Linked DNA regions of Astyanax mexicanus. The protein of the gene in region 1 binds, or shares a complex with, the protein of each later gene. Links are inferred from orthologs where the notes say so. Each region holds a gene or a part of one and is shown in the gene's direction. Other genes may lie near its edges. The genes, in order: mcm2, gins1, dnajc9 and gins4.

Region 1 (7,445 bases):
CCGGGGAGCCTGGAAATGTGCCTGAAGAAAATGTTAGCTTAGCATGACTTTCATACAGATAACTAACTAACTGCTCAAAGCTAACTCACCTCTGTCTGTCTGATATTAGTTCATAACAGGCTGGTTTTGTATTTAAAATGCTCAGGGTTTCGCTCGAAGGCAGACAGGACTAACTAACAGAGACGGTATCTGGTAGGTAGGTTTGGTAACTAGTGTGTTAGATAACTAGATAACTGTGTTTTAATATATATAAATGAATTTGAAGCTAGCTAGCTAACCTAGCTAACTAATTAGCTAGCTGGCTAATAGTGAGCTGCCGGGTGAATTATTGACATCTGATATATGGCAACTTCAGTGCTTAAGTGTTTAAACTCTTATAGCTTTAAAATGTCATGTTATATAGGCAGATATTTAATATTTTATTCTATTTTTGCTATATATTATATAGGATAGCTTGTGTAAAGTGAAAGTGAATGGTGTTGAATGGTTATGTATATTAAAGTAGATTATATTGCAATTATATTATCATTATTTTCATGTGTGTTTATTCTTGCTGCTGACTGATTTCATTAAAAAACACTGAGAAATGAGATCAATTTACTATCTTATTCTAATTTAATTAACCCTTTTAGAACCTTCATCTAGTATAATAGACATCATGTATTATATATTTTTATTTTTAAATGTTTTGTTGTATATAACACTATTTGAGAGCTGCTGTCTATCAGAATAGATCACGAACCAGCAAATGAACAAGTTTATGAACCAATGAAACGGTAACATTGCCCCATACACTAGACTGGAAAAACAGTAGAATAGTACCTAGATCCATTTATGCAAAGTAACAGCTATTTTATACTAATTTAATGTGATTCAGAATACTTTTTAATTATGTTTTTTTCCAGTTTATGGAAGGTTTAGAAAATAAAAGTGTGAACATCAAATGTAAAATATTACACACATGCTTCCAATACAATAGAATTTATAATAGATTATTAGAGCCTTCTTTTCTGTGCATTACAGACAGAAAACAGCATTTTTACATTTTTTCATCACTGAAGATGTTGAAGAAGTTAAAAATGGTCCAATTGCCTTTACCATACTCACGGTTCTCTCACCTTAGAACATTTTACACTGTTTACATTGTTTACATTGTTTCCCACAGGTTGCCAGATTAAGGTGTGTTTCCTGCCCAAATGAAAGCAAGTCAATGAGGTACAGAGCAAGCTGTGTCCTACCAAGGAGCTATGGAACTTGCTTCTACCTTCTCAAAGTCCCTGGCAGAGTCCAGTGGAACATCTCCATCAACAGAACCTACTGTTCCCCGAAGCAGAACCCAGAGGACAAGGCTGATAAGGCCGTGTCGTCTCAGGACCGTGCCTCGGCCGCCCTGAAGAATGTGGCAAAGCTTGGGAAACAGTGGGGACAGAATTCTGTGAGGACCATGAGCACTACCGTCAATTACTGGTGGGCGAAGTACGAGGAGTTTGTGGGTCTCAATGAAGTTCGAGATGCTCAGAGCAAAGTTACAGAGGTGAGCAGCACCAGTCTTACACACTGCTTTTGGATAACTTTATGCCACTCCTGGTGCAAAAAGCCATATTGGTGATGGCTTATGATCATCCATCTTCCTCTTGATTGTATTCCAGAGGTTTTTAATTTGGTAAAATCAAGAACCAAGAAACTCATAATTTTTAGTGGTCTCTTATTTTTTTCCCAGCGCTTTATATTATAGCTTTCTAAATGCTGAAGAGCACTTCTTTAGACTTAATCATCTTTTTATGTTTGTGTAATCCTTGTATCTTTCATCCTGTCTAAAGGCAGAGAAGGCGTTCATGGTAGCCAGAGGAATGGTCCGTGAGGCTCACGTCAGTTTGGAGGCTCTTCAAGTTAGATTGAAGGAAGTCAGAGATCGCCTGGACCGTGTATCACGAGAGGAGGCACATTATCTAGAACTGGCAACACTGGAACACAAGCTACTGCAGGTTTGTTGTAATTTCCAGAAAATGTATTTTAGTTGCCAAATATTCTGTGCATCCTTACTAATAACATGATAAGAGGTTCTAATTTACTTAAACCATCCACTCACTAACTTCTTTGTCTCTGCAGGAAGAGCGTCGTCTGAAAACAACCTACGAGAATGCGGAGGAGTGCGAACGAGAGAAATTTGCGCTCTTCTCGGCTGGTGTGCGAGAGAGCCACGAGAAGGAGCGATCTCGGGCCGAGCGAACCAAGAACTGGTCCGTAATTGGTTCGGTGCTGGGTGCCATCATTGGGGTAATGGGGTCCACTTACGTAAACCGGGTACGCCTTCAAGAACTGAAAGGCCTGCTGCTAGAAGCTCAGAAGGGACCGGCGAGTCTACAGGAAGCTATCAAGATCCAAGCCAGTTTACACAAGAACCAGCAGGAGGAACTCCGTGGCCTCATAGATACGTTTAGGGCAGCTGTGAAAGGTGGAGGAGTCGAGGCACAAAAAGTCAAGCCAAGGTCCGTCTTAGTGCCAGCAGCAGTGCCCGTTTCAACCCCTCCGTCTACACACGGTGCCTCAGAAGAAGCCGTGAAGGAGATCCTCCTCCACAGCCAGAAAGCTCAGGCTCTCATGGAAGATCTCAAGCCCCAGCTGCATCAGCTGGAGCAGAGCGTGGGGAAGGTGGCGACAGAGCTTCACGCCGTGAGGAAATCTGTGTTGAATCGTCCTGTTGAGAAGCCAGTCATTCAGACTAAAGATACGCAGCTGCTGGTGTGTGATACAGAGAGCATCATCCAGGGACTGGACCAGACGGAGAAGAGACTGGAGGCTCAGATCAATAAGACTACTCTGTACACCACAGTTCTGACCTACACTGCTTTTGCTTTAACTATGCCAGTGCTGTACGTCATCTTTAAAGCTTCATAATAGGGTACAGGGTACTGGATACTAGTGTAGGTAGATCGTGTGCAGTTAAGGGGCCAATGACCGACAAGAATAACCTCAGATTTTATAGGAGACCATTGGAATTATATCATGGCTTAATGCACTGATGGATAAACACTGATTAAAATGTTCTAAATGATCTGCTGCTTGTTTAATAATATTGTTTAAATATGTTCTTAAGAAACACTTACCTGCTCTTTTAGTGCATCTTATGAAAGCAAGGGTATTATCCTCATTCTGTTAACCTCAGAAGTCAGATTTAGTTTGCTACCATTGATACCTATTGATTAAAAAAAGCATTATACACTATTTTGCATATCCAAACAGCATGGAAACACCATTACCACAGGTAGAAGTTGGTGCTGTACACAGTACTGTGTGTATGACTAATTTAACAAAACACTAAGGGATAGACATGATAATAAACTATATCATACTGCTGCTTCTACTACTACTGTTTATGTGGGGGCAGCCATATTGGAATTTAAAGTTGGCGATCTCAACTTTCTGAATAAGAAATACGACCTATATGAGCATTCCTGTTAGCTAAAAGCAGATTCTACTCTAATAAGAAGGTTGTATGATGAATATTGAATATTTCAGTGAGGATTTTATTGTATTTGCCTAAAAAAAACGTAAATAAAGATAGAAACTCACACTACAACTCATTCCAAATATATATTTGATGGAGTTTCATCACTCCAGAGCAGGGTTCTTTAATTCTGTTTCCCCTGCCTTGCAAATATATGGCTTTCCTTATCTGCAACACTCATTTTATTTGTAAGGCCCTCGAAATTCTACCAATGAAGTGTGGTGCTACTTTGATGGGTAACTGTATACCCCCATCGCTAGCATTGTAAGCTTGTTGGGAACATCAGCTAAAAGTACTTTATTTTTTTTTAATGCTGGGGGAGAATGGAGGAGGACTATTGGACAAAAGGGTGTACTGGTTATCATGTTTTACTGCAACACAAGTCCGTTTCACATTGGATTTCTCCTTTACGAGCGCGTGGGAAAAGGGAAAAGTTTATTTAAATCATTTTAAGATAAATGTTATAAAAATATTACCGAGCTATAAGGCCAGACTATGACCTAAAAATAAACACTTTAATTGTGTGTTTTATTTTATTAATTTATTTATTCCTCTGTACTGTCAGTACAAAACGACAATGTGCTTTTATTCTATAAAATATCCTACAGTGACCCCCAGCGGAATTACAGATCCGGGGGCGTGGACTTACATCTCCAACCAACGGCAAATTAGAGCAGCGGAAACTCGTCATGTGATCATATTCATGAGCTTTCCCGCGCTTTGTCATATGCGGCGCTGAATGTGTGCAGGAGTACAGCACAGGGAGGCGTGGCTCTTTAGCCGACGGACCAATTAGAACTCGCGGAGACTCTGTAGCTATACATATTCATAAGCTTTCCCGCGCTTTGTCAAATACTGCATTGAATCTGTGTAGAAGTACAGCACAGGGGGGCGTGGCGCTCTTGCGGACAGACCAATTAGAACTCGCGGAGAATCCTTAGCTATACATATTCATAAGCTTTCCCGCGCTTTGTGGTCACGTGGGAAGTTTCGCGCGAAAACTTCGGCTTGCAGGGGAAAGTAGCCGGAGAGTGAGCAGAACAGGCGTGTATACATCAAACCAGCACGATGGCGGTGAGTTAAAGATTGTTATTTATTATTTTAATAAAGTGTATTAAAGGAAATAGTCTGAAACGAGGCTGATACTGTTAAACTGATTATATGTAGACATGTATTATAATTGAAGAATGTCATAATACTGGTTATTTTGAGAGACAAATCTGATAGATTTGGTTGAAGTTGTTGTCTTTTATAGAAATGCAGTAACAAGTGCACATAATAGCATTTTACAAGGCCAAATGTTAAAAAATATATATGATTTGATCTATTGTAAATTATAAATATATAACTATATAGGTCACTAGTTCGTAAGTTAGATATAAACAAATGTGCGTAGTTAATGTAACTGAATGGAGGCATTTTGTAATAATCTGTCAGCCTGTGTTCAATAACATTGGTGACTGCTTACCATAAGATATACGTACACGTTATATATACGTATACGTTTTTTACGAATAGATTTTTAAAAATAATTATTGTATAATTATCAAAACATTAATTGTCTTCTGTTACTCCTGCTGTTAACCTGCTAACATGGGTCACAATATTTACCCGCTGTGGGATTAATAAAGGCATTGTTTTATCTTATCTTAACATTTAAAATATATCATCTTGTTTTAACGTTATCTATAACTAGATATTACTGTTATTATTGTTGTACAGCTGTTCTTTTTAAGGGAATGGTTAAAACGCTAGTTATTTATACGGATGCTGTAACTACATTTTAACTTTAACTTTTTAATTTTTAATTTTAACTTTGACATTTTTAAAATAAATAACTTGATTGTATTACTTAAAAATATCTAACTTTAGATATTTAGACGCCAGTAAGTTAAATGTGTTTAAGTGAGAGAAACTTAATATTTTGCTGTATTGTTCTGTCTGTCTGTCGTAAAGTTAGTACTCTAGTGAAGGACCACGTTGGGCAGAAGTTCAGTCTTTGTTGAAGCTCCTGCTGGTTAGCATTGTGGGCTAAATCGAGTGTTTATTACTTAATCAACCTTATTACGCAGCCCTGAAGCAAAATATGAGGCGAATCTGAGGTGAATAATTTTATTTAGGCGCCTTTCAAGTGTCTGTACAACAAAATATTAAGTTTTTCTCTCAGGCAGTGTGTTTGTATTTGCAGCTACAACAGGCTAGCCAGAGAGCTGCCTGTTTCCTCAGTTTAAGTTAGCTAGCTAAGCTAAAGTAGCTATAACGTTACTGGCGGGAAGGATTTAGTATTAAAATATACTAAAAGCTGATAATAGAGCAGTTTTAATACCTACATGTTGGTAACGATGGCTCACGTAATCCAATTCGTTATTGATAAAATTGTCCGTAGCTTCTGTATTGAATTCTTTCGTTCCACCTTAAATACAGCAGTGCTCTGGGGCACCGAGCCAGATTCTCTGTAGGTTAGCTAGCTAAGTCGTGTAACATTTTTAAGGTGGAACGGAAAAGTCTTAAAAAGTCACATTGCTTCTTGCTCATAAAACTACGTTCCAAAGTTATAAAAAAACTTTTTTTCTATCAATAAAGCACATGCATTATTAAGAATACTTATAACATATATATTTGTAACTTAAATATATGTTTATTATTTAAAAATGGAAAACAAAATAAATTGAAATGGTAATTTCAGCATAATTATAGCATATTGTGCTTTGTCTGTTGGAATTGTAAATATTTAGTATTCAAGAAATGTTATGTTTTAGTTTTATAACTGCATTTCTTTGAAAAGCAAGACCAAATAATGTTTAGTTTGTTTAATTTATGCTGTAGTGAAAAATGATTCACTGAAGTCCTGCGGAGCAATTTTCCAGTTTAATATCTTACTTCGCTAAATGTATATTTAAAATTAGGATTTACAGTGATGCTGGAATCATGTCTGGTGGGTAAATTGCTTATACAATTCTAGAACAGATGGTTCAAACTGGCGCTATTTACGACCTTGAATTGTAATTTTCTAACTTTTCTTTTCATTCTTTTTATACTCCAGGATTCATCCGAGTCTTTTCACATGGCGACCAGCCCCAGCCGTGGCTCTCGGAGGGGGGACCTGACCTCCAGCCCGGGGAGAGACCTGCCTCCTTTCGAGGACGAGTCCGAGGGTCTGCTGGGGGACAACATCCCTAATGAGGAGGAGGAGGAAGGAGATGGAGAAGAGCTCATTGGGAACGGGATGGAGATGTAATGAAATTCCTCTTGCTAAATGCACTTCATTCTTGGCCAATATGATTCCAGAAATTTACTTTCGTAAAGTTTTAAACATTTAAACATGTTGGCGAAGTGTATGCCCCAGTTATTTTATGTTTATTTGATGAATTATTAGTGGTTCTGGTATTATTTTAAGTATTATATTTTAGTATTATTTACATTAAGTATTATTGAAGTATTGTGTAAGTATATATTGTTTGTGTTGCTAAGTTAGGGCCTTAAGTGAAAGGAAGGTTTTAGAGAGATTTTAAAACTGAATCACAGTGACCTCAACGATATTACCACACGTGTGTAAAATATTATTTGTTTTCTGCAGTTAAAGCAGTAATTATAAAACAGACATTGAAAATATGCTAATATATTAATTCTGAAAGAATATTTCTGATATTCTCCAAGCCTCAGTCAAAGAGGATGTTTTGTTTTTAGTGAAACACCAGCTCAAAGTAGGTATAGAAAACTGGTTTTAGAATGTTTCAAGTTAGTTTCTGAATGTTAGCCCAGCAGCACCACATACTGTCACATGTTAATCTCATATTTTGCTCTTTTCAGGGACTACCGTGCCATCCCAGAGCTGGATCGGTATGAAGAGGAGGGTCTGGATGATGAAGAGGACCTGAGTGAGCTCTCTCCTGGAGCTCGTGCGGCTGCAGAGGAGGCCATGAGGCGCCGAGACCGA
Region 2 (7,681 bases), on another chromosome or scaffold:
TAGACTTATGACAGCTTGGTAGAGTGTCCAGTGTGGTGCTTGAGATCAAGGGCGTAGGAGCGGGCTTGATATTGGGGGGGACACATTTGCCAATATGAACCCAAGTCCACCCAATAGTTTCCTAGAACAACATTTGTGGAAATTACTTTTAATTAAAAGTAAATTATTATTATAAGGTGATTTTACAACCTAAACATGTTACTCCACATTACAGCTACTGTTGTTAGAAAAATTATGCAAGCAATGTCTGAGTTATCACCTAATATTTAAAATAATATAACAGATTATTATTATTGTTATTATTATTATTATTATTATTATTATTATGTATTGGCATGTCAATTCTGTTGTATATTTACATTTTCTCCTGCACTTTTATTTTTTTCTACTGAGAGCTCTTCTTAAGATGGTGTCCTTTTATGTAAAAGAATGTAACTTTACGTTTCATAGGGACTTTTATAAACGTCAGGATATGTGGTCTTACTGTGAAATACAAATGAACAGAAGTCACGTTACAGCAGTGTTTCTCAACCCAGTTCTTATATATTCTACTGCATATTAAAACTGTTCTGCATATTCTAGAGCTTCCTCTGGTGGATATACATGATTAATTTAGGCTCCATAGGGGGCTAAAGGTTTTTAACAGGTAAACTCAGTAAATGACTGTTTATTAGCTGATCAGGTGGAAAACACTAGTTTAGGGCAGTGATCGGGGTTAAGTAACTGCTTTAAACTACCAACTTAAAGTACTGTACGAAATTCTGGCGATCATCTACATCCAGCTTCTAGATAACTAGTTAGTTAAATCAATTTTCGTTCATTATAGCTCACAGTAAGTCCTGTAATCCTAAATGAATAAACAGTTTGAAAATTAAAGTGATTAGCTGATCAGGTACAGGGAAACATTACATATATTTTTTATTTTTTTCCTTTAACCCTGACTCCCAATCTAGCTAATTCCAAAGATAAGCTTACACACTAACAGCTGCAGTTTATTAATCACAGTGGGTTTAAACTGTGTGCTGATTCAGAGACGTGTATTTTTAACCAGCTATCAGAAACATATCATCACAGTTGAAGTGGTTAGCCTATCGTTACCTTTCTTTTAGAAAAATCTCCGTATATCCATATCTGTTTTAAAATCAGCTGAAGCTGCTGCGTCCCGATCCCGCTGCTAAATCTCACAGCGAGGGGGCGGGGCTTCCCCAACAGCAAACTGCCTCTGCTCCGCGCGCCGCAAAACCAGCAAGCTGATTGGCTGTTTCTACTGAGAGGCGTGACTTAATACCTGAACCGGCTCCGTGATTGGTCCGGTCTGTCTCCTCATTAATAGTACAGCTGACCTGAGCGAACTGATATCATTTTTGGGGGGGACAAATCCACCTGTTTCTAATATTGGGTGGGACATGTCCCACCCATCCCCCCCGGTTCCTACGCCTATGCTTGAGATGCTGAGATAATTCTGAGAACACCACATAACTCTCTCTCTTTTTCTTTCCCCTCTCTTTCTTCTCCTCTTTCTCTTTCCCACTCTTTCTTCTCCTCTCTCATACAGGTTCAAATTCTGTGGAAAGGACCAGGTCAGAGAGAACATCCTCCAGACACTGACTGCTTGCTAAATATGCAGAAGTATTCAATAAATTCTTAACATTGACTCATTCAAACTGTGTCCTTGGAGAGTTTTCTTAAAATGCAGTACTATGCCTCCTACAGTGTTCTGGTCCAATTGAAAGAAGTCAAGTTTTCTCTCTGTAATTTTTTTTATTGAGTCATTATCAGAATTATTATTCACACAATACATTGATAATTTTTTATATATTTTTTTTATTTTTGTCATGCATGTGTCCACCCTGTTATAGCAAGCTGCACCACAAGGTGGACAATGACAGACAACTTAAAAAAAATTGGCATTTAATCAAAACATGATTAACCCAGAGTTGCAGACATATTAAATTGTTCATGGTGACCATGTTTATTTTCTAAAAAAAAATTATATTATACCACAATTCCGTTTTATTTGTGACATTATCAGCTTGGTCATGCACAGTAACGGAAGTTCTCCACATATTACTCTGGCACATACGGGTAACCTAGCACCGATGCAGCTCTTTCAAACCAAATGCGATGTCTTTAAACACCACTGGGAGCTGCTGGATTCTATAGGCACAGTACAGATATGCCATGTCTTCAATAGGCAGCGCAGACAAAGATGCGGTCCACACAAATAAATAAACCCAGCGATTCGAAAAATAAGCATTATTACACACATTATCAGCCACCAATATCAGGTTGTTATTATTAAAATAAAAGCTAAAGGGTATAGTTTCCCGTTAATATTGGGTATTTTAAGCTGAGCGTAAGGTGGACTCTTGTAATTCTGCAGGTCTCGCCGCTGGGGGGCGCCGAAGTAAACAAAACTTTAATTAAAAAAAAGAAAAAAAAAAGCCTAAGGAGCACTGGCCTTTAATCTGCACAGATTTCTCTCCTGAAAACAGTTAATTTGGGTGAATGAAGCGCTTCCATTTGTTTACAGTGCGCTTAGATTTTCCACAATTTTGACCGAAATGGGTGATAATACAGAGCTTATAGCGCAGCTACAAGCAGAGCAGCTATGGAACTATTTTAACTGGCGGAGTGTTTATAACCAAACCAATCGCATATTCTCGTCCTGTTTAACTCAAACTCTTTCAATAAACAGTGATAATGAAACTGTGGTATGATCACAATAATACACTCGATGTTCGTGCTATAACGTGTAGTATTGGCACCTCCTAGATATAGCTCTCCTTCTCGTGTATTAATGCTTATTTATTAATTGCAATAGTATATAGCTGCCATCTTGCGTGCGCTTGCGCAGTAGAGGCCAGAACTGGCGCGGCAGATTACTCAATTACTCTTTGCGTTTCACCGTCATTTTCACCAAACAAGTTACTTAACTTAGCTAACCTGAGTTGGTTATTCTAGTTAACTAGTTAGCTAGCGTTAAGTACCTAACGCTAGGTTAAAAACCTAACCTAGATACTAAAATTAGAGAGAAGAACAAAGTATGAATACTAATGAATTGATGTAGGAAAATTATCCACTTACCAAAAAAACTGAAGAGAACTTTTCCCTGTTAACTGCTGAACAAGCCACTGCTTTACTTCAGAAATCTAATTTTTAACAGTAAAATAGGAAGACCTGTCAATCAACTTGCCCTCAGCTGCCAATCACCACATCGCCACACCCCTTTAAATATCACGGAATAACTCCTATAAAACGTATTAACTGTAAAGACAAACCCTAGGGGTTATTAACACAGGAGGGGGGCTTGCAGAATGTACAGAACCTTCCAAAAATTAATGTGTAATTTTAGATTAAAGATTCCGCCATCTCTCATACAGGTGAATGGATGGGGTTAAAAGCTGTACTGGAACCAGCCACCAGAGGGCGTAAGAGACGTGGTGGCTTCACTTTTCAACCCCTGTTGTGCTGTCCATACTTATTTATATACAGTCTATGGGGCATTCTCATGCTCGTTTAAATAGTTTAATATTTTTTCTAAAAATAGGCTAAATAGCCTAAATTATTGACAAAGTATCCTCAAATACTTATGAAAATTTTGAAAAATTAAATAATGTGTTAATTACCCATACCAACTAATCCTGGCAGCACTGTGGACATGGCAAAACCCCACTAACACATCAAATAAAACTGTATAAAATGTCCACAAGGTTCTCTAAAGTGAATATTAACATATTTGTAACTATATCTATATTTGTAATGTGTTCATTCAGTGTTCATCTTCAGAAATGTATTGTTAGTATTTGTAATGTTTCGCTCAACAATGAATGGTCCATAAATACCCATAACCATGCATATTAATAAATATAAAAAATAGTGCATTTAGTTACAGGATCATCAGATAAACATTTGCCTCCAGACATACTGTTAGTCCTTAAATATTTGGACAGTGACACTAAACTGGATTTCAAATGAAACACTTGAGGTGTTATTGAAGTGTTTCAGGTTTAATTTAAGGGGCTGATCAAAAATATCCTATTAAGTTTTTAGGAATTATAACCTTTTTCTACAAAAGTCAGAGGCTCAGAAGTTATTGGACAAATGAACTTTACCATAAATAAAATGTTAATTTTTAATACCTTCTTGAGAATAAAGGTTGAAACCCACTGACATCACCAAACACTGTTTTTTTCCTTTATGGTGCTTTGCCAGGCCTTTACTCTAGCAGTCTTCAGTTGTTGCTGGTTTGTGAACCTTTCTGCCTTTAGTTTTATCTAAAGTAATGACTTAATGTTGCTTGATCAGGTTCAGATCTGGTGATTGACTCGGCCACTGCAGAGTATTCCACTTCTTTACCTTAAAAAAAAAACTCTTGGATTGTTTTTACAGTATATTTAGGATCATTGTTCATCTGTACTATTCAATGCCATCCAATCAACTTTCCTGCACAAAATACCTGTACACTATATAGCTGTACACTTCAGAAATCATCCTTCTACTTTTTTTGCACATGTTCTAGGAGGGCCCCATGTCTTTAGAGAATTAAAAATAAGGCTTTTCATTAATTTCTAATGTATTATTGGAATAAGCGTACGTTTACTTTTACTAGATTTTCTGACCAGACGGAGTGTCCCACTTTGCGTTCCGTAGTTATCGAAAGGGTCACGTGATCAAAACACCGCATTCTGCCGCGAAAATCGTGTGTGAGGAGCAGCGGGAGAAGCACAGACTGATATAACGCTAACATACAGTCTATGAATACAGTTTGTATTAAATACAGTCTGTATTAAACAGCGTTAGTTAACTAAGCTACAAGGTCCTACTTTATATATCAGTTTAATCATGTTCTGCGAAAAGGCTGTGGAACTTATTCGAGAGCTTCACCGGATGACTGATGGCCAGCTGCCCGCTTTTAACGTGAGTATATTTATTATTTATAGATACCCTGCATCCATTCAACTAACCAGACTGAATAGGCCTGGGTTAATGTGATTATAATAAACGTGATAGCTGAAATAACTGTATTTATGTTTTTATTTAGGAAACAGTGCGGCTTTTTGATGTCACTAAAGTAGATGCTAAGCTAAACCAGTTTAATTAAATCTTGGTTAGTGAACTGGTTCTGAAACGGGTACGCTGAGCCATATAGTTTAGCTAGCTGTAGATACAGAAGCAGCACAGATAGTAGGTTAGCTAGTAAATAATAATAATAGTAGTCTGATAATATTATTGCACAGTGTGTAGCTAACCTACATAAGTACATACAATAAATATAAGAAATGACAAGAACTACAACAACAGAAAAATACTTTGTTATTGTGTTGTGCACTGTGGACAGTGTAGCAGGTAAAAAATGAAGATACATGGTCTTTTTATAACAAATAAAATGGTGAAACTGATGACTAAATCTCAAATAACAGGTGAATAAGATGGAAGTTGAAGGTTTTAGGTTGGCAATAAACCATTTGTTTAGTGCATATTTTAGTTCCTTTCTGAAGGGTTTTAATTGTGGAACGAGCAAAATACAATAACTGGACTTTCTGAAGTTATCTCCTCATTGTAGAGGCAGGCCAACATGATTCACCTTCATGTTTTTACCTTTGAGTTCCTACCTTTATCTCTATGCTTAGGTCTGTCACAATAATTACATTATTGACTTATTGTACAATAATTAGTCATGACTACAATCATTTTTTGCTGAACTCAATATATTGTCTGACGTGTTTACTTTATTAGAACATGTTTATTTTTTGGTTTTACTTATTACTCCTACAAAATTTACTACATATACTACATTTTTCATATTTTAGTTTATTGTTCAGTTTAGTTCAATGTCTTAACATCCTTAATTATCAACATTCTTTGCTCTTTAAAAGAAATATCGCATTAGTAGGCTATTTTGTTATTATATCAGTGGCATAAGTTGGTCTTAAAATGGTTATACAATTTTATTGTAGTTTTTTTTGTGTAATAATTATTGCGACAGGCGTACATTCACTCTAATATACAGTATTAAGGGTGCAGAAGTCCATCTTACATGTGCACAAGTAATAACCAGCATTTATCTCTGCAGGAGGACAACATTCGGCAGGTGCTTGAAGAAATGAAAGCTTTATATGAGCAGAACCAAACTGATGTGTAAGATACCAACTTTCTTACCTTTTGCCATCTGTGATTTTCTTCAATCCCATTACATTTCGTGTTATATCTGATTAACAACATATCTGTTTTGACCCTCTTAAAAGTAATGAGGCTAAAACTGAAGGCAGGAGTGAACTGATCCCAACCATCAAGTTTCGTCACTGCTGCTTGCTGAGGAACCAGCGATGTATCACAGCCTACCTGTGAGTAACCTGGATCTGCTCTAATACTACTCAAGTAACTCTAAGGGCTCTATTATACAGGTCAGTTCCTCTGCTGAGACAGGCAAAAGCGCTGTGCTGTTAAGATATGAACGTGCCAAAGTCAGAGCACACCTGGCTCTTGAAGAGAACGACGACTGGCACACTGATTGGTTTATTTTATGTTAGACACAAAAAATACAAAAGAATTAGTATTTCTTGACACCAAAGACACACCGAAACATCCAAAATCAAGCTGTGCGATCCACAATTGACCGATACACTATAGTTCACTAAAATAGAGCCCTAAGTCTTAATTTATATACATTCATTGCTCACAGGACATTCAATATTCATTATTATAATAAAGGTTCTGCACAAGTTTAGCAAAATTGCATTTTTTGTTGCATTTTATACTCTACATATTAACCATGCAAATGTCTTTGTTACAAACTGGCTATTCAGTGTTTTCCAGATTGTCTATTGTGTATATTAAATACATATAGTAATTTCTATCCCCTTTTCTATTATTTATTTATATGAATTTTATAAATATATCTACATATTTGTTTTGAGGTATATTTTGTGCATTGTTTTCCTGTTCTTCTACTTTATTACTTGATCTAATGAATATCAAAGTATTTCACTATTACTTTTACACCCCTATCCCACTTTAACAGTTATGATCGCCTCCTTCGAATCCGTGCTCTCAGATGGGAGTATGGGAGTGTGTTGCCCACCACGATTCGTTTCCACATGTGTGCAGAAGAGGTGTGTTTTTTACTTTTAAGACCAAGTTATTCAGTATTTCCTTATTTGGAAATGAGGTAATACATATTTCATTTTTTATTATTAAAACTGCAGTTGGAGTGGTTCAATCAGTACAAGAAATCCTTGGCCACTTACATGAGGTCACTTGGAGGAGACGAAGGCCTGGATATAACACAAGACATGAAGCCCCCCAAGAGTCTGTATATTGAGGTAAGATGTCTTACAGCCACAAGAGATGGTATGGTGTAATGGGTAACACCACTACTTTCTCTTCTTTCGCTGGTTGGACAAACACTCCACCAAAGACTCTGAACACACCTAGTTGTGTAGCATGACTCAAATCACACAAAAACAGTATCTCCAAAACAGAAGCTGTACGAGAAATGGAAAAAAAAAAAACTTTACGTTTAATTTTTTCAGATTTCATTCCATAATGAAAAAAAAAAAAAAACATTTCTTTTTATTTTACAATATTTTAGCCTAGCCAAATTAATCCACTGACTTACTATAAACTTTCATCCTCATTTGTAATGTCCTTGGTCCCTAACAGGGGTAGGGCAAGAATA
Region 3 (7,598 bases), on another chromosome or scaffold:
TTTTTGCAATTGCAACTGATTTGCAACAATTCTACCATTATCAACATTCCTTATAGAACTGAAAAGACTAATTGCTTGACTGGTGGGATTGGATATTAAATAAAAAAGGTCATATTTGTGTCAATCAACACCCATTTCATATGAAAAAAAAAAAAAAAAAACAGAGTTGGCACATTTCTTAATAATAAATCAAACCACCTTTTAAACACTGAATAATGCAGCAGATTTTAACAATATTGTGGAATTCCCCTTTAAAAAGTCCTGAGTCCTGAGTCCGAGTTGTACTCAAGCATACACACACTTGTGTAGCTTCAGGTTGCGCGGGTCTGCATAGCGCTTTCCACACTTGTCGCATATATACTGTTTGCCCCCTCCGTGCACATGCCGCTTGTGCGTCCGCAGATGGCTCCCCTGGCTGAAGGACTTGCCGCAGGACTCGCAGTTATACGGCTTCTCGCCCGTGTGGATCCTCTCGTGGAGCTTCAGGCTGTTGGAGTTGTTGAACCACTTTTCACAGTACCGACAGCCAAAGGGCTTTAGGTCCGAGTGCGTGCGGCCGTGCGAGATGAGGCTGCTCTGCTGGCTGAAGCTCTTACCGCACTCCTTGCAGGTGAAGGGCTTCTCACCGGTGTGAATGCGCTTGTGGATCTTGAGGTTGACCGCCTGCCGGAAGGTCTTGCCGCAGAGGTCGCAGGGGTACGGTCGTAAGTCGGTGTGGATCCGCTCGTGGTTGCGCAGGTTTACAGCGTGCCGGAAGGACTTGCCGCACACTATGCAGGTGTGGGGCTTCTGGCCCGTGTGGATCAGCTTGTGCGTGATGAGCGTCTTGGCCCGCGTGAAGCTCTTCCCGCAACTGGAGCAGACAAAGCTCTTTTGGCCCGTGTGCGTCAGCTGGTGCCTCGCCAGGTTCTGAGCAATGTTGAACTTTTTGCCGCACTTGTCGCAGCTGAACGGCTTCTCGTCCGTGTGGATGATCTCATGCGTCTTCAGGTGCGCCGCCTTGCCGAAGCACTTGCCGCACACTTTGCAGATGAAGGGCTTATCCCCAGAGTGCACGCGGTGGTGGTCCACCAGGCTCTGCTTGTGGGCGAAGGCCTTGCCGCAGAGCACGCAGCCGAAGGGTTTTTCACCTGTGTGGATGCGCTGGTGGGATTTGAGGTTGCTCACTGTGGAGAAACTTCGCCCACACTCTGAACATATGTAAGCTCTACGTCCTCCAAAGCTCCCAATGTCTTGATCAGCTTCGTTGCCCTCTTCTGTTGTTCGACCTTCTGTGGAAGTCAGCTCCAAATGACCTATAATAGGCAAATATTGATTAAAATCAGAATTTGAAGAAGAAGAAAAAAAACAGGCAGCAAAATTCTGAATAACCATTAAATGCCAGATAATTTGCTCTGGTCTGAAAAAATAAATAATAGTTAATGCGTTTGTAAACCTGAGCATTTTTCCCCTTGTTTTTTTATCATTTCCACACAGGGAAAAAGAGTTAAGCACACCAAAATGTTTCAAGACAACCTGTGTGAGAACATTCTCTCTGCTTACTGGTCAGACCTGTCCGGGGTGGGAGTAAGACAATAAATACAGCAAAAATGTCTTGTGTTCTGGACTATTGATGTGGGGCGTTGGTAAACACTTGGTATTTATGTATAGCTGTAGTAACTGTAGTATCTGGGTAATCTTGTGGAGCATCAGATAACAAACATGTCTTGGCTGTTAAACTACATGTGGGTGAGAGATTAATAATGTCTGATTATATTTGATTGCTCAATAAACCTCTTCCCAATACCTTTTCACATAATTTCAGTAGAAACATTAGATGAGCATGTGTCTGGCAAAGTTTCAGAAATAATTAAAGGACCTTTTTGGTTAACTGTACACAAGATTATGGGGGTAAAAAACAACTCCTAGTGAAAGAGACTGGATCAAAAGATGGTACAAGATAAGATAAGACAAGTATTCAGAAATTCAGAAAATAAACCCATATTACCTGCTATGATGGACTTCAGGTCAATGTTTCCAAATTCATCTTTGATGGTCACTGCCAGGGTTAATGGAGAGTCTGGTTGCTGAGGCTCATCTGTGTCTGCAGACTGAGAGAACAAAACACTTACTTCTTACTTTTTTCAGGTCAGAGGTACCATAGAGAAAGGGGGAAAATAGCATTTTTCCAAAAAGGATAGGGAAGTACTGTATATTCACCAAATTTGTCCACCAATTGTTTGCATGCTTTGAACTTAGTTTGCTTTGCTTTTATTTTATTGGGCTCATTATTAGAACAGTTACAGACATGTTGAACTGTTTATGAGGACCTTTTATATTAATTACCATTATATTTGACCATAACAGGGTGGACAGCAAAAGTCATGTTATATTGATACTTACCCATCAGCTGCTCTCAACAATAAAACACCTGCTTTTACCCCTGGGCAAACCACAAAATACATCTGCAATAACTCACCTCATCTTGCATTCTCGTCTCCGAGCTTCTTCCACATCCATCATAGGAATGTTCCTCCTCTAAGAGTAAGAAAAATAAAAAAAGAAGTGAAGCAGCAATTAAATTGTTAAATTACACAGAGAACCTTCTGCAGTGAAGCACAGTGAGTCCAAGGGGTCTGGACTGAGTGATCTATCATGTTCACTTGGTTTATATACCAAACTATTGCTTTAAAATTTGGCAGTGGTGATTCAGCAGTTAAATGGGGTTAAAAAGGGTTCAATATCCAGGTTCAACAAGCTGCCACTGGGCAAGGCCCTAACTTTAACAGCTTCCTGGGTGCATTGTTTGCCATACTGTTACAATGAATTTTCTTCTGAATTAACTTTTCTGTTTTTTAATATTGTATGAATCACTAATTACCAAGTCCTTACCCAGCTCTCCCACTGAGAGGATGTTCAGGATGCTCCCCGGGTGCTGTGCTCTCTTTCCTGAAAAAGTCTTGCACTCTAGTTCCAGCAGAAACTTGGTCTCATCCACAAGCTTGATGATCTTACCTAGAGCCTCATTGCCCAGGACTTCCATGACTGACGCGAACTTCTTCTGCAAGAAAGAAAAATCACAAAACAGGAGTGTGCTTTAATAAACAGGAATCAATTTGATGACATGACATCCCTTTTATAAGCCTGCATTCTCCTTGAGCATTGCTATTATATAATTTAAAGCAGACTTTTATTGATTTTCACAACTACAGTTACAGTACAACTACATAAATATTGGGGGATTTGGGATAAGCTTCACAGAGTGAAGAAAAGACATGGAGAAGCAAATGATACACTTTTAAAAGAAGCTACTTATTTAAAGCCATAACCCAACACACCCCCATTTTATAAATGAGCTCAAATAAACAGAAAACAGAAAGAAACACATTGAATAAGAAGTGGTGTGTCCAAATGTATGACTGGAACTGTATTTAAAACTTAAAAAATAAACATTACATTTTATATATAAACTGACATGTTATACTACACTTGCCCCCACTTTACTATGAGTTTGAACCCCAACCTCTTTTAACCCCGTGGCTGAAAACCGCATACCAGTCTCTGCTCGTTCTCCCCCTGCAGTAACAGCGCTGCTCTCTGTGTCGGTTCTGTGTCTTTTTCTGTTGTTGTTGTTGTTTGTGTTCTTGTTGTTGTGGTGGCGCTCGTGCTCTTGTGCTTGTCCCGCAGCAACAGCAGTGCGCTCATCTCCGCCACCGCCGCGCGGATCAGCGCCTCCACCACCGCCGCCAGGTGCGCGTGCAGCGCCGGCACAGACATCAGTCCCGCCGATCAGTCCGCTAATCGATTAAAGACCCGATAAATTAATCCGTTAACCAGATCGATCACAAACAGCTGCAGTCAACCGCAGCATTGCTCGCCTCTACACACAACACACAGATAACACTGGTAACAGTGGCGCGAGAAGTTACATCCGGGTAACCAAAATCAAAATAAAAGTCCCGCTTCCGCTCCGCAATCAAAACTTAAAGAGCCACTAGACCCTAAACCATAGTTTTTTTTCATTAACAGCTGAAGTGTGTTCATAAGAAGAAATAAAACGTACCAGTCCTGCTTATTTATTTTTTATAAACATTTTCTAACCTTAAAAACACATTTATTGTGGTAATTTCTACCTCTGTAGTGTGTAAAGTGTGAATGATGTTTTCTTTTTTTTTTTTTTTTTTAAGTGTGAATGATGTGTCCGTGTGATTTGGTACGCAGACACATCACAATGCAAATCAGTCAATCGTTTTTCCACTAAGAAGTGTATGAATATGTATCTGATATTCCCTTAATAATTCCCTTAATAATTCTGTATGTATTGTTTTCACAAAGCAGAAGGGAACATGTTTTGAAACACGTGATAAAAGATTAAATACTTTTAAAAATACTTTAAAAACTGGTTGCAGATGAAACACAAGACAATTTAAATTGCTTATTTAAAATAGCAGCATAAATGAATAAATAAAAAATAGTGAAAAAGTGCATTAAGAAAAAAAACATATCAACACTTTATGGCACAAACTGTATTTATTTTTAAGAAGGAAAACACACCACTGCTTTTGCAGGTTGCAAAATGTTGCCCTGACCAATGTCCGCCTGCAGGCAGCGCTACTCCTCCCGGACCTCAACCTGACCGGCCGAAGAAGAGCAGAAGGCGGCAAAGTGAGAGGAGAGAAACAGCGAGAAGAGGGGGATTAGAGGGAAGAGAGGAAAACAACGGAAAACAGGGGACTATTTTAATCCCGTATCCAGTGTACAGCGGGTTAGTGAGTGTGTGTTTAATTCAGCCTTGTGTTAAATCCTCTGGACTTCTCTTCTTATTGGAATTCTTCGTTCCACCTTAAACTTTCAGGCGCTGAATAGAAAAGCGCTGCTCTGTTTAAGGTGGAATTGAGGATTGTAGCTAGCTAATAGAAGGTTAGTGGGCGAAGGGGGGTAATTAACGGCTCTTCCTCTGCTGAGCTAGTTAGTTAATCAGTTAGGTTGATGTGTTTATTTTGATTTTCCTCACAGGAGTCATGGGTTTGCTGGAGCAGTGCGAGCAGCTGTTTGGTTCCTCCAGTCTGTATGAGGTGCTGGGGGTCCAGAAGGGGGCTTCAGACGCTGATATGCGGCGCGGCTACTACAAGCTCTCCCTGCAGGTTCACCCTGACCGAGCCCCCGGGGATGAGCAGGCCACCACCAAGTTCCAGGTAAAAACAGCACACTGCACAGGGTTGCCAGGTCCAACAAAAATATCCAGCCCATATTCAGTCTAAAACCCGCCCTTCAGAAGCTTAGACTAGCCCGAAATACAGCTCCGGAGGAAAAAAAAGAGCCCACTCTAGTTTCTGAATCAGTCGATCAGATTTTGCTATTTATAGGAATATGTTTGTATTTCACCACATGGTCATTTAGAGCATTTATTTGACAAAAATGAGAAATGGCTGAAATAACAAAAAGATGCAGAGCTTTCAGAACTTAAACACTGCAAAAAAAAAACAAGTTCATATTTATAAAGTTTTAGAAGAAAATCCAATTTTTTTAATGCATCTTGGCATGTTCTCCTCCACCAGTCTTACACACTGCTTTTGGATAATGTTATGCCACTCCTGGTGCAATAATTCAAGCAGTTGGTTCAAGCTTGGTTTGATGTCTTGTGATCATCCATCTTCCTCTTCATTATAGAGGTTTTTCAATGTGGTGAAATCAAAGAAACTCATAATTTTAAAGTGGTCACTTAATTTTTTTCCATTGCTGTATATGTCTGTCACATGTTTAAAGCATATGGCAAAACAACTAAGTGCATGACTTTGTATTTGGATTACATGGGATTTATTATCAGTATTGCTATTTATCTTTGTCATTAATAATCCTGTAACATTAGTGTTTTATATCCCAGTCAAAAACATTTAGTAATAACATAATTAGCAAAAAACTCATTTCTGTTCTTGCCCCTCCTGAACTCTCTTTTTTCCTCTTTAACATTTTATTTGTCATCGCCTGGTGATTCCTAGATACATTGTTCCAAAAGAAGATTGATTTTAGTGTTGATTTGTACACATTTGCCTTCCATGTTGACGTAACATCCAAGGCAATGCGCAAATTTGAGCTGAGGGTCGAGTGAGCAAAAATAAGGGGGTTTAGTGCCTCTTTAATTATAGTTATTAATGTAAGGTGTGTTCTTAACTTATCTGTTTCTGAGTTATTAATATATAAATCACACAAGGTTTTTATTGCATTACTTCTCATTTGAGCACTATGAAGGTCTGTTGCTGTATTATAATTAAATTGGGTTAAAGCTAGTGTGTGGCTTATGGTCTGTAAAGCTTGTAGGACCAAGCAGAAAAGCATTCCCGAACTAAAAAGATTATTCCATTCACTTTGTGCAGTGTGCCACTTCCACTGACAGAAAACAGCCCCAGACCATGACACTACCGCCACCAAGTTTACAGGGACATTCTGCATGATTTATCTGTGTAAACCTTACATTGCTTGTGCTTACAGATTCTCGGAAAGGTTTATGCTGTGTTAAGCGACAAGGAGCAAAGGGCTGTGTATGATGAACAGGGCATAGTGGATGAAGAATCAGACTCCATTGATCAGGACCGTGACTGGGAAGAACATTGGAGGAGGCTGTTTCCAAAGGTCAGTACTCCTTAACAGCAACTACTCATAGATCTAGGCACTGATTTTTTTAATATGAAGGGATTTTTATCTAAAATACTATGGTAAACAAATCCTCTTGTCTTTTTTTGTTGTATCAGATCACCCTTCAGGACATCTTAAACTTTGAGAAGCAGTACAAGGGCTCAGATGAGGAAGTGCAGGACCTGAAGAGGCTCTACCTGCTTCATGAGGGAGACATGGACCACATCATGGACCACGCACTGTGCTGTGAGCACGGAGATGAGCCTCGCATCCGGGAGATCCTTCAGAATGCCATAGATGCTGAAGACATACCTGCTTACAAAGCTTTCACCCATGAGAGCACCAAGAAGAAGGCCAACCGCAAAAGGAAGGTCGGTGGAAATATAGAACAGCCCATGGCAGTGTTTATTGGTCTCCAGTACTTGTGTAGTGTTTTACGTTTATGATCTGTGTTGTCCAGGCCAAGAAGGAGCAGCAGGAGGCGGATGAGATGCGGAAAGAGATGGGACTGGATGCTGAGGACAGTCTAGTGGCCATGATCCAGGTGAACATACATCTACAGGCTTTATTCTTTAACAAATCTGTTTGATCTCAGTAAATATACTGGCAGACCCGAGTAGATTATGGTTAATTGTCCTTCATACCAGATCCACCATAATTCTACCAAAAAAAATCTATTAACTTGTTTAAACATGGTCAGTAGTGCAATGAGCAGATTTTGTTTAAGACAGCCCAGAGTAAATACATATGGCAAAATTCTAATCAGAATATAATACAGACTCTAGTCACATGTATTTACCAAGTGTATAAATGGGTCTAGGAGAGGACAATTCAGTATTTGGACACAGCTGGCTGTCAGTGGTTCTTTCCAGTAGCCCAACAAACACGAGTGCACACACGAACATGCATCTGCTTAAATTTGCATATTTTCTTAATAAGATGCAATTTAAATAGAAAATTTACTTTTTAAAACCTCCTGTCACACC
Region 4 (7,267 bases), on another chromosome or scaffold:
GTGCACCAGAGTACTTGCACATGTGTATGGAATAAGGATCAGCAAAATGAGGTAAAATCAATGGAATTTGTAGAAACTGACCAGGTTAAAGCTACTGTGCAATGTGAAACAGCAATTACTTAATGAGGCAGTTCATGAGGGACAAGTTTGTAATGGGCACCACAAGATGGACAGCGCTGGGCCTCTCCCTCGTGCAGCCAGAACCACACCACTGCTGTGTTATCCTCTTCACCTACACAAAAACAAAACATTATAATAAAAAAAAAAAACATAAAATAAATGTTAGTGATTGCTTGTAAGATGGTTAAAAAAGGGCTGCAGCTTAAGACTAATTTCCAAACCAAGATTTATCTAAATGCAGTGAACTTTCAATTTATTTTATGTTACCCATCTCTTTGCAAGTACGGCAAAGCTTTCATACAAAGTAAATTTAATGCAAGGAATCTTGCCCATGAACCATTATTACAAACATCTTGTCTCTCCCAAGAGTACCAGGACTATCCTGAATATTAGCAGCTTTTATCTTTTTTTTTATTTTATTAGGTGCACCAGCACAAATGTTACAAATGTTAACACCGCAGTTTTACAGGTTGACTTTTTTTTTCCTCCTCACTGTCCATCTAGGCAAAATTGACTTGTAAAGAATGAACTAACAACCTGGTCAGCATAAAGTTATTTTTTTGAAGCACTATTCTAGAAGAAAGGTAATATACGGATGTTTATGTTTAAAGTGCTTCACTGACTTTAAATTTAAGCTTAAATCTCTCAAGATAAATAAATAAAAACAAAATGTAAAAGTGCAAGTGTTTTAAGGGCTTCAAACCGAACATCTAATAGTTTAATATCTCATGGATTATCCTCCATGACCCAAGACAAATTTTATAAAGTTTGATGCACCTTTATTCACTTAAATTACAAAACAGCGGTTACTGAAATACGTCTTAAAGTGCAACTACACTCAAAAAAACAAAAAACGTTTAAAAAAATAACTTACAAACACAGCCAACGATTCTCTTCTTGTTGATGGAAGGCACAATATGCGGATCTTGCTTAGTGCCTGCGTACTCCTTTGGCTTCAGCATGCTGTAGGGATCCTGAGAATAGAAGACACCACAGACTGTAATTAACCATTATCTGACATGAACAGTAATTTAAATGTATCCCAAAAATGGCCATACTTACAGCCCCCTGTTTAGCTGCGTTCATCACGATTTTCTCCAGCCCAGTGGCCTGCTCCTCATCAGTAGGGATTCCTGCATGCACATTTTTATTAGAAAATATTAAAAAAAAAAAAAAAAAAAAAAAAAAAAAAATTAACTGTCCTGATTAAAGAGACATTTAATATTGTTAAATATTTTTGTTCAAATCAAATCCCATATGCAGGACAAAAGCTGGCCTAGCCTACCAGCATAGGCTATGTTTGTTCTTAATGACCAGCTGGTCTTGAGCTAAAGTTTTATTTTTTTAGACCTTCGGCAAAAGACGAGACAAAAAATTTAAACACTCAAATTAAAAGTGGGTCCAGTTAATATTTTCCCTAATTTGTGTTTTATTTTGTGTCTATATGTTCTTGTGCTTTGGAAAAAAACAATAAAAATATATTTACAAAATTATCCCTAATTTGTTAAAAAAAATGTCCAGACTACATAAAATAAGAAATTTAAAGAACTTTATGTTATATTATTGTATTTCTATGCTGTTGGAAAACTAAAATATGAAATTGGCCTTTTGCAAGTTTGTGACCACAGACATAACATACACAGAAAAACAAGAAAAATATATATTAGTTTATTTGCTGAATTAAAGCAAATATTACAATACTTCTGGCGAGTTGAATATGTAATGTTTTAAATTAAATAAAAATAATATCCAGAATTACAGTTGTTTCAAAAATAGAGATCAGTTGTCCACGATTTGTTTAAACGTTTACAAAATATTAAATCAGCTCGGTTATTTATATTTGCACATTTTGGTCTCTTATTAGCTAGACATACAGCTGCAATATAAAGCTATTACGAAAGAAATAACACTAACAGAAATGGCTCAGACGTGTTTTGTGACTGTATAGCATTAGATAATACTTATAATAAACTATTTAATTTTCTCTAATTGAAATATTAGAGGTGCAGTTTTGAGTGAGGAGCTAGCACTAGGTAACTTAAGCTAACGCTAAAGGAGGACATTTCCACAAGGAAGCGGAGGACAAACCATAAGAACACCTCAGGCCTAGAACTAGCGTTAACAGGTCACTTTGTCTGGTAGTAAATACAGCAGTCCAGCGCAAATTAATCACAGGTTCAGAACAGTTATTAATACAGAGATCTGTAAGTGTCAGATAGATAAAGTCATTAACTGAACCCGCAGCAGGATGTGAGCGCCCTAGCTTCGTCCTTCAGTCTCTCAGGGTGAGCTAAGCTAAGGAGGCTAATCTGATCATTAAATACAGTTTCCGCTGCGGCTGTTTTTCACTCAGACGGTTATAAATGAGAGTAAAGAGCGGATCACCTCCAGCTGCGAACCCCCGAGCAGCGGCCTGGACCGGGGCAGCCCGCCTGGAGAGAGCGGCTCTCACCGCAGTTCGGACGAGGAACCTGGACGCCATTCTGCTGCTGAACGGGATCTGAAGTGAGTCCGACTGAGAGGAAGCTTATCTAAACCAGCTTCCTCTACAGAGAGCGGAGGACTCTCCTGCCCCTGCTGTCAGGAGGACTAATCCACTCATTACAGTTCAGTTCATACACAGGGGTCAAATAACTACAGTACAAATACTTATTTACCTTACTGAAGTAGAAATGTTGATTTTCTATCTATACTTTACTGGAGAAACAAGACCTTTAACTTCTACTTCTTACATTTACACACAATTATCTGTAAGATGTACTTCTTACATTTCTCCACTTCACACTGCAGCAAGGATATACAGCTCTAGAAAAAAATGTGACCACTTCAGTTTCTGAATCAGTTTCTCTGATTTTGCTATTTATAGGTAAAATTTCTGAGTAAAATGAACATTGTTGTTTTATTCTATAAACTACAGACATTTCTCACAAATTCCAAATAAAAATATTCTCATTTAGAGCATTTATTTGCAGAAAATGAGAAATGGTCAAATTAACGAAAAAAGGATACAAAGCTTTCAAACCTCAAATAATGCAAAGAAAATAAATTCATATTCATAAAGATTTAAGAGTTCAGAAAATAAACATTTGGTGGAATAACCCTGGTTTTAATCACAGTTTTCATGCATCTTGGCCTGTTCTCCTCCACAAGTCTTACACACTGCTTTTGGATAACTTTATGCCACTCCTGGTGCAAAAAAATCAAGCAGTTCAGCTTGGTTTAATGGCTTGTGACCATCCGTCTTCCTCTTGATTATATTCCAGAGGTTTTCAATTTGGTAAAATCAAAGAAACTCGTAATTTTTAAGAGGTCTCTTAATTTTTCCAGAGCTGTAGCAGACATATGTAGCCTAGTATAAAGATGTCCATTTACATTGTACTAAATGCATTCATTTTCAATGGGCGCATATGTGGCTGACACAGGGATGGCACTGTAGTGCAATTGTTTTCAACATTTTCAGATTTTAAAGTAACATTATAGTCATTATGTCTTTTAGATTTTTTTTTTTAAGTTGTGCACTACAGGACCCTGTGGCACAGCCTAAGCTTTTGTTCTTACTGAGATCAAATATCCAACCAACCAACCAACCAACTCTTTTTTTGTAAAAAGAGTAAATAATAGTAATTAGTAAATGAATTAGTGAAAAAAAGTAGAACGCAAAGTAGTTGACGCAAAATTAAATTTATTATTTTCATGATTGTATTATCGTTCATTATTGTTCATGTTGTTACAAATATAAGATATAAAATAAGAATTGTTTGCAGAAAAAAAAACTAAATAACAATAGATAGTAAATAAATTAGTTTTATAAAATTGATTTAATGCATTTAGAATGTATTTTTATTGTTTGAATTTTTTTTAATTTCATTATTTAGATTTTGATTTTATTAAATATGTAAATATTGACATAATGATTTAATAACAAATTTTTTTTTTTTTTTTCAATTTGTCATATATCCTGCACATTTTGCTGTTTTATGTACAAACTTTCTAACCTCTGAGCAGGTTTACGCATAACCTCACCATAACAGCATAACCCACTGTTTTGGATATTATACACTGCGCAGATCTACGGAGCATAACCTCCGTGAAGAAATAATGACGACACGGGAAACTCTTGCTGTTTGGCGGGAAATCTTAGTGCGCGCTGTGTGTTGGTGTGTGTTGTTGGTCTGTGTCAGTGAGAGGCTGCTGTTAAACTACTGACTGTGTTTACAGACGCGTTCAGCGCGGTTATCCGCTGGATTTTGCTCTGTGATTGTGTTCATCTTGGTCAGTTAACCCTGTGCTTTAGGAGAAGGACGGTGTTAAAGACTCGTATCTCCGGGTACGTTAGGAACTTTGGGTCATGGCTGATGATGAGTTGTCGGACGCTGGAGATCTGAGCGGAGAAGATGAGAGTCAGGAGGACGTTCTGACTCCAGCTGAACTCATCTCCAGGCTGGAGGAGGTCAGTCGTTTCTTTAACCTTTACTGCAGAAGCTGGCGGCTCTGTTTCACCGTGCAGATCTTTACCTGAGGCTTAGGACTGTCCAGTAGCAGCAGGGTCTCTCAGCTCCTCTGCCTCTAAACAGGCTGCTTGCTCTCTGTACTGGAATAAGGAGACTCTGCTCTGAGAAACAGTCTGCTGCTGTTTAAAGCAGCAGTCCGTAAGATTTATTTATTTTAAATTGACAGCAGTTGTATAACCTACCTGAGTGAAAAGAGGACAAAATATTGTAATAAATGGCGCCAGAATGCCTTCATAAACAAGTCGCATACATTCTAAAACCAGGGTGTTTGGAGTCAATGTAACAGTGATCTGTTATGTGTTTTTAATTAATGATCATGAAATAATTTTTTAAGTTTTTTATTCAGTTTTCTATTTATTTTTTTTTGCATTTTGTAGCAAAAATCTGATGGTTTAATCATACCTACCTTCTTTTTACAAGATGGAAAATTGTATTTTATATTAATTATTTTTTGTGTTTTGTCCCTTGTTACATTTTCCCCCTTACATTAGTTTTACTTTTATACTTTAAATAGTTTTGAAACCAGTACGTTTTAATCTTTTGAGTAAGCAGCAAGGTGTAAAAAAAAGTCAGTGTAACCTTCATGTGTTTTGAATTAATTCTTTTTTTTTTTTTTTTTTTTTTTTTGCCACTAGTGATCAGAAATAAAAATACATCATTTTTTTTATTTTTTTTATTCAGTTTTCTGATTGTACAGTTTTTGCATTTTGTAACAAAAATCTGGTATACTAATGGTATAATGATATCTATTTTCTTTTTACAAGATGAAAAAAATAAATTTCATGAAACTTCCTGTAATTCAGATCATGAGAGACAGAAATGAAAAAAGAAATTAATTGAAAACTAGTTGTTAAGTGGACAAAATTAAATAATGAAATGTATTAATATTTATTAGTAATGAAATCTAATTTACCTTAAAGTTGAACTGATTAACGTTACACTGACCGCTTGTAGGTCCAACTGGGAGTTTTCGGTCCACAAAGAAACAAGCACGCGATTTTACTAGATTGTAGTAGGACATTGCTGTGAGATCAGGATGTTGGATCAACACCCCACCTTATCTTAAACTCACCAACTCAGCACAAAAGCACTGAATGAACCACAGTAATTTATCAGAACACAACAGGCATGGTGCCAATAGGTTTATATGGTGTCCATATTGATCATGTGATTACTTCAGAATCTCACATTTAGTTTTTTAGTTTTAGTTTTTTTTTTTTCTATAGAGTTTATACAAATCATGGGTTAGAAATGAGGGCAGTTTAAAGTAACTGAAATGTAAAGAACTAAGCAGAACATGTGTCTGGATATTTTTGGATATATGGTGATTTTGATTGTTATTATTATTTTTTTTTTTTGTGATTACTTTGTATTAATAAGCTGTTTTTCTGTTTTTCAGGCCTGGCTGAATGAGAAATTCTCCCCAGAGCTTCTGGAGAACAAGTCTGAATTGGTGGAGTGTGTGATGGAGCAGCTCACTCACATGGTAAGGATGGATGATGAATGGGATGTGAAGAAGCAGTATATACGTGTGTGTGTGTTAGCTTTAGGGCTAGAAGTCAGACTGCACTGCAGGGTTTTTGGATTTAATGCTTTCTAGGGCACATTTAGCCTTTTTTTATTCTTCTATCACCTCAGGAGTTCCCTAATATGGAGCTTCAGCATTCTGGTGCATAATCCTCATTTTTATAACACTCATAATCTCTGGTAGAGCTGACTTCAGGTTTCTGCTGTAACTCATCCACTGCTAAAAGTGCCTAATGGTCTTCTGTAAGTGGTATTGCCTAAAGCAGTCATCTGATGTACATTCAGATAAAACCATCAGATAAATAAGGCACCCTGTTTACCTAAATATATAATAAATAAATGAAAGCTATAGGGATTAGATGAATCTTTGTCTCATACCTTGTCTGGAAATTAAATAGTGTTTAGCCTTTATCCAACTTTTTTTTAATGTAAAAAAGGGTAGATACTAGGGTAAACCATTTCATACATGGTAATATAGTTTTTAAAAATTGAAAGAAAAAACACAAATTCTTGTAATAATATTACAATACTTAATACATTACAATACAATAATAATCGTAATACGTATTAGTGGTATTCTGTTTTTAAATTAGTCATTTTTTTATTTGTTTTGCTATTTTCTGTGAGGTTTTTATGGATTATTTTTGTAAATATTTTTATGTTTAGAGTTTATATACATAACCTAAATATTCTGCATGTTAACATTGTGATATATATTTTTGTTACGTGTTGTGATATGTAGTGTTTTGTCATATTACCAAGAATATCTTTATTGCAGAAATACGATATTGTCCACCCCCCAGTGGTACCTCTTTCTCTCTAACAATACTAACAATATACTTGCCTGCACTGTTATGGTTTCCTGAGAGCACTAAAGACATAAAGATTGTAGTTTTTGTTTTAAAATGCCATTGGCAGATTATGCTAAATAGTATCAGCTTATATCAGTATGTTTTCTTTCATAACTTCAGGAGGAGAATCTGCAGCGTGTGAAGAAGGGAGACCTAAAGGCCAGCGTCCACCGCATGGAGATTGACCGCATTCGCTTTGTCCTGAGCAGCTACCTCCGGTCTCGACTGCAAAAGGTAGCGTGGAGAATAGATCGACAC

The links.
Region 2: mcm2 (region 1) and gins1 share a complex: the UniProt entries of both Homo sapiens proteins name them as parts of the CMG helicase complex. The link is inferred for Astyanax mexicanus from reciprocal best matches to the Homo sapiens genes MCM2 and GINS1.
Region 3: the proteins of mcm2 (region 1) and dnajc9 are in contact, whole or in part, in a crystal structure (PDB 7CJ0), measured with the Homo sapiens proteins. The link is inferred for Astyanax mexicanus from reciprocal best matches to the Homo sapiens genes MCM2 and DNAJC9. Residues at the interface, in NP_004517.2 of Homo sapiens: Glu65, Glu66, Glu67, Asp68, Glu104; in NP_056005.1 of Homo sapiens: Lys185, Arg189, Arg192, Lys244.
Region 4: mcm2 (region 1) and gins4 share a complex: the UniProt entries of both Homo sapiens proteins name them as parts of the CMG helicase complex. The link is inferred for Astyanax mexicanus from reciprocal best matches to the Homo sapiens genes MCM2 and GINS4.

What each region holds. Positions count from the first base shown.
Region 1 is NC_064431.1:668,479-675,923, forward strand, and holds the start of mcm2 (DNA replication licensing factor MCM2), read left to right. Parts: upstream 1-4,436; 5' UTR 4,437-4,576; coding exon 4,577-4,582; intron 4,583-5,475; exon of another isoform or gene 5,476-5,610; intron 5,611-6,551; coding exon 6,552-6,742; intron 6,743-7,318; coding exon 7,319-7,445. Other genes in the region: ccdc51 (mitochondrial potassium channel), read left to right, coding at 1,211-1,534, 1,821-1,985, 2,110-2,898. UniProt on the Homo sapiens protein: Acts as a component of the MCM2-7 complex (MCM complex) which is the replicative helicase essential for 'once per cell cycle' DNA replication initiation and elongation in eukaryotic cells.
Region 2 is NC_064414.1:30,474,894-30,482,574, reverse strand, and holds the start of gins1 (DNA replication complex GINS protein PSF1), read left to right. Parts: upstream 1-4,669; 5' UTR 4,670-4,845; coding exon 4,846-4,920; intron 4,921-6,076; coding exon 6,077-6,141; intron 6,142-6,248; coding exon 6,249-6,347; intron 6,348-7,024; coding exon 7,025-7,115; intron 7,116-7,208; coding exon 7,209-7,325; intron 7,326-7,681. Other genes in the region: pancreatic triacylglycerol lipase, read left to right, coding at 1,556-1,619. UniProt on the Homo sapiens protein: Required for correct functioning of the GINS complex, a complex that plays an essential role in the initiation of DNA replication, and progression of DNA replication forks.
Region 3 is NC_064422.1:19,868,662-19,876,259, reverse strand, and holds the start of dnajc9 (dnaJ homolog subfamily C member 9), read left to right. Parts: upstream 1-4,592; 5' UTR 4,593-4,744; exon of another isoform or gene 4,745-4,899; intron 4,900-4,995; 5' UTR 4,996-5,000; coding exon 5,001-5,174; intron 5,175-6,468; coding exon 6,469-6,609; intron 6,610-6,728; coding exon 6,729-6,983; intron 6,984-7,072; coding exon 7,073-7,156; intron 7,157-7,598. Other genes in the region: si:ch211-207i20.2 (zinc finger protein OZF), read right to left, coding at 286-1,295, 1,988-2,090, 2,459-2,517, 2,872-3,040, 3,535-3,756.
Region 4 is NC_064419.1:27,447,993-27,455,259, reverse strand, and holds the start of gins4 (DNA replication complex GINS protein SLD5), read left to right. Parts: upstream 1-4,245; 5' UTR 4,246-4,468; coding exon 4,469-4,570; intron 4,571-6,030; coding exon 6,031-6,117; intron 6,118-7,129; coding exon 7,130-7,243; intron 7,244-7,267. Other genes in the region: cytochrome c oxidase subunit 5B, mitochondrial, read right to left, coding at 120-232, 995-1,094, 1,183-1,253, 2,506-2,602. UniProt on the Homo sapiens protein: Required for correct functioning of the GINS complex, a complex that plays an essential role in the initiation of DNA replication, and progression of DNA replication forks.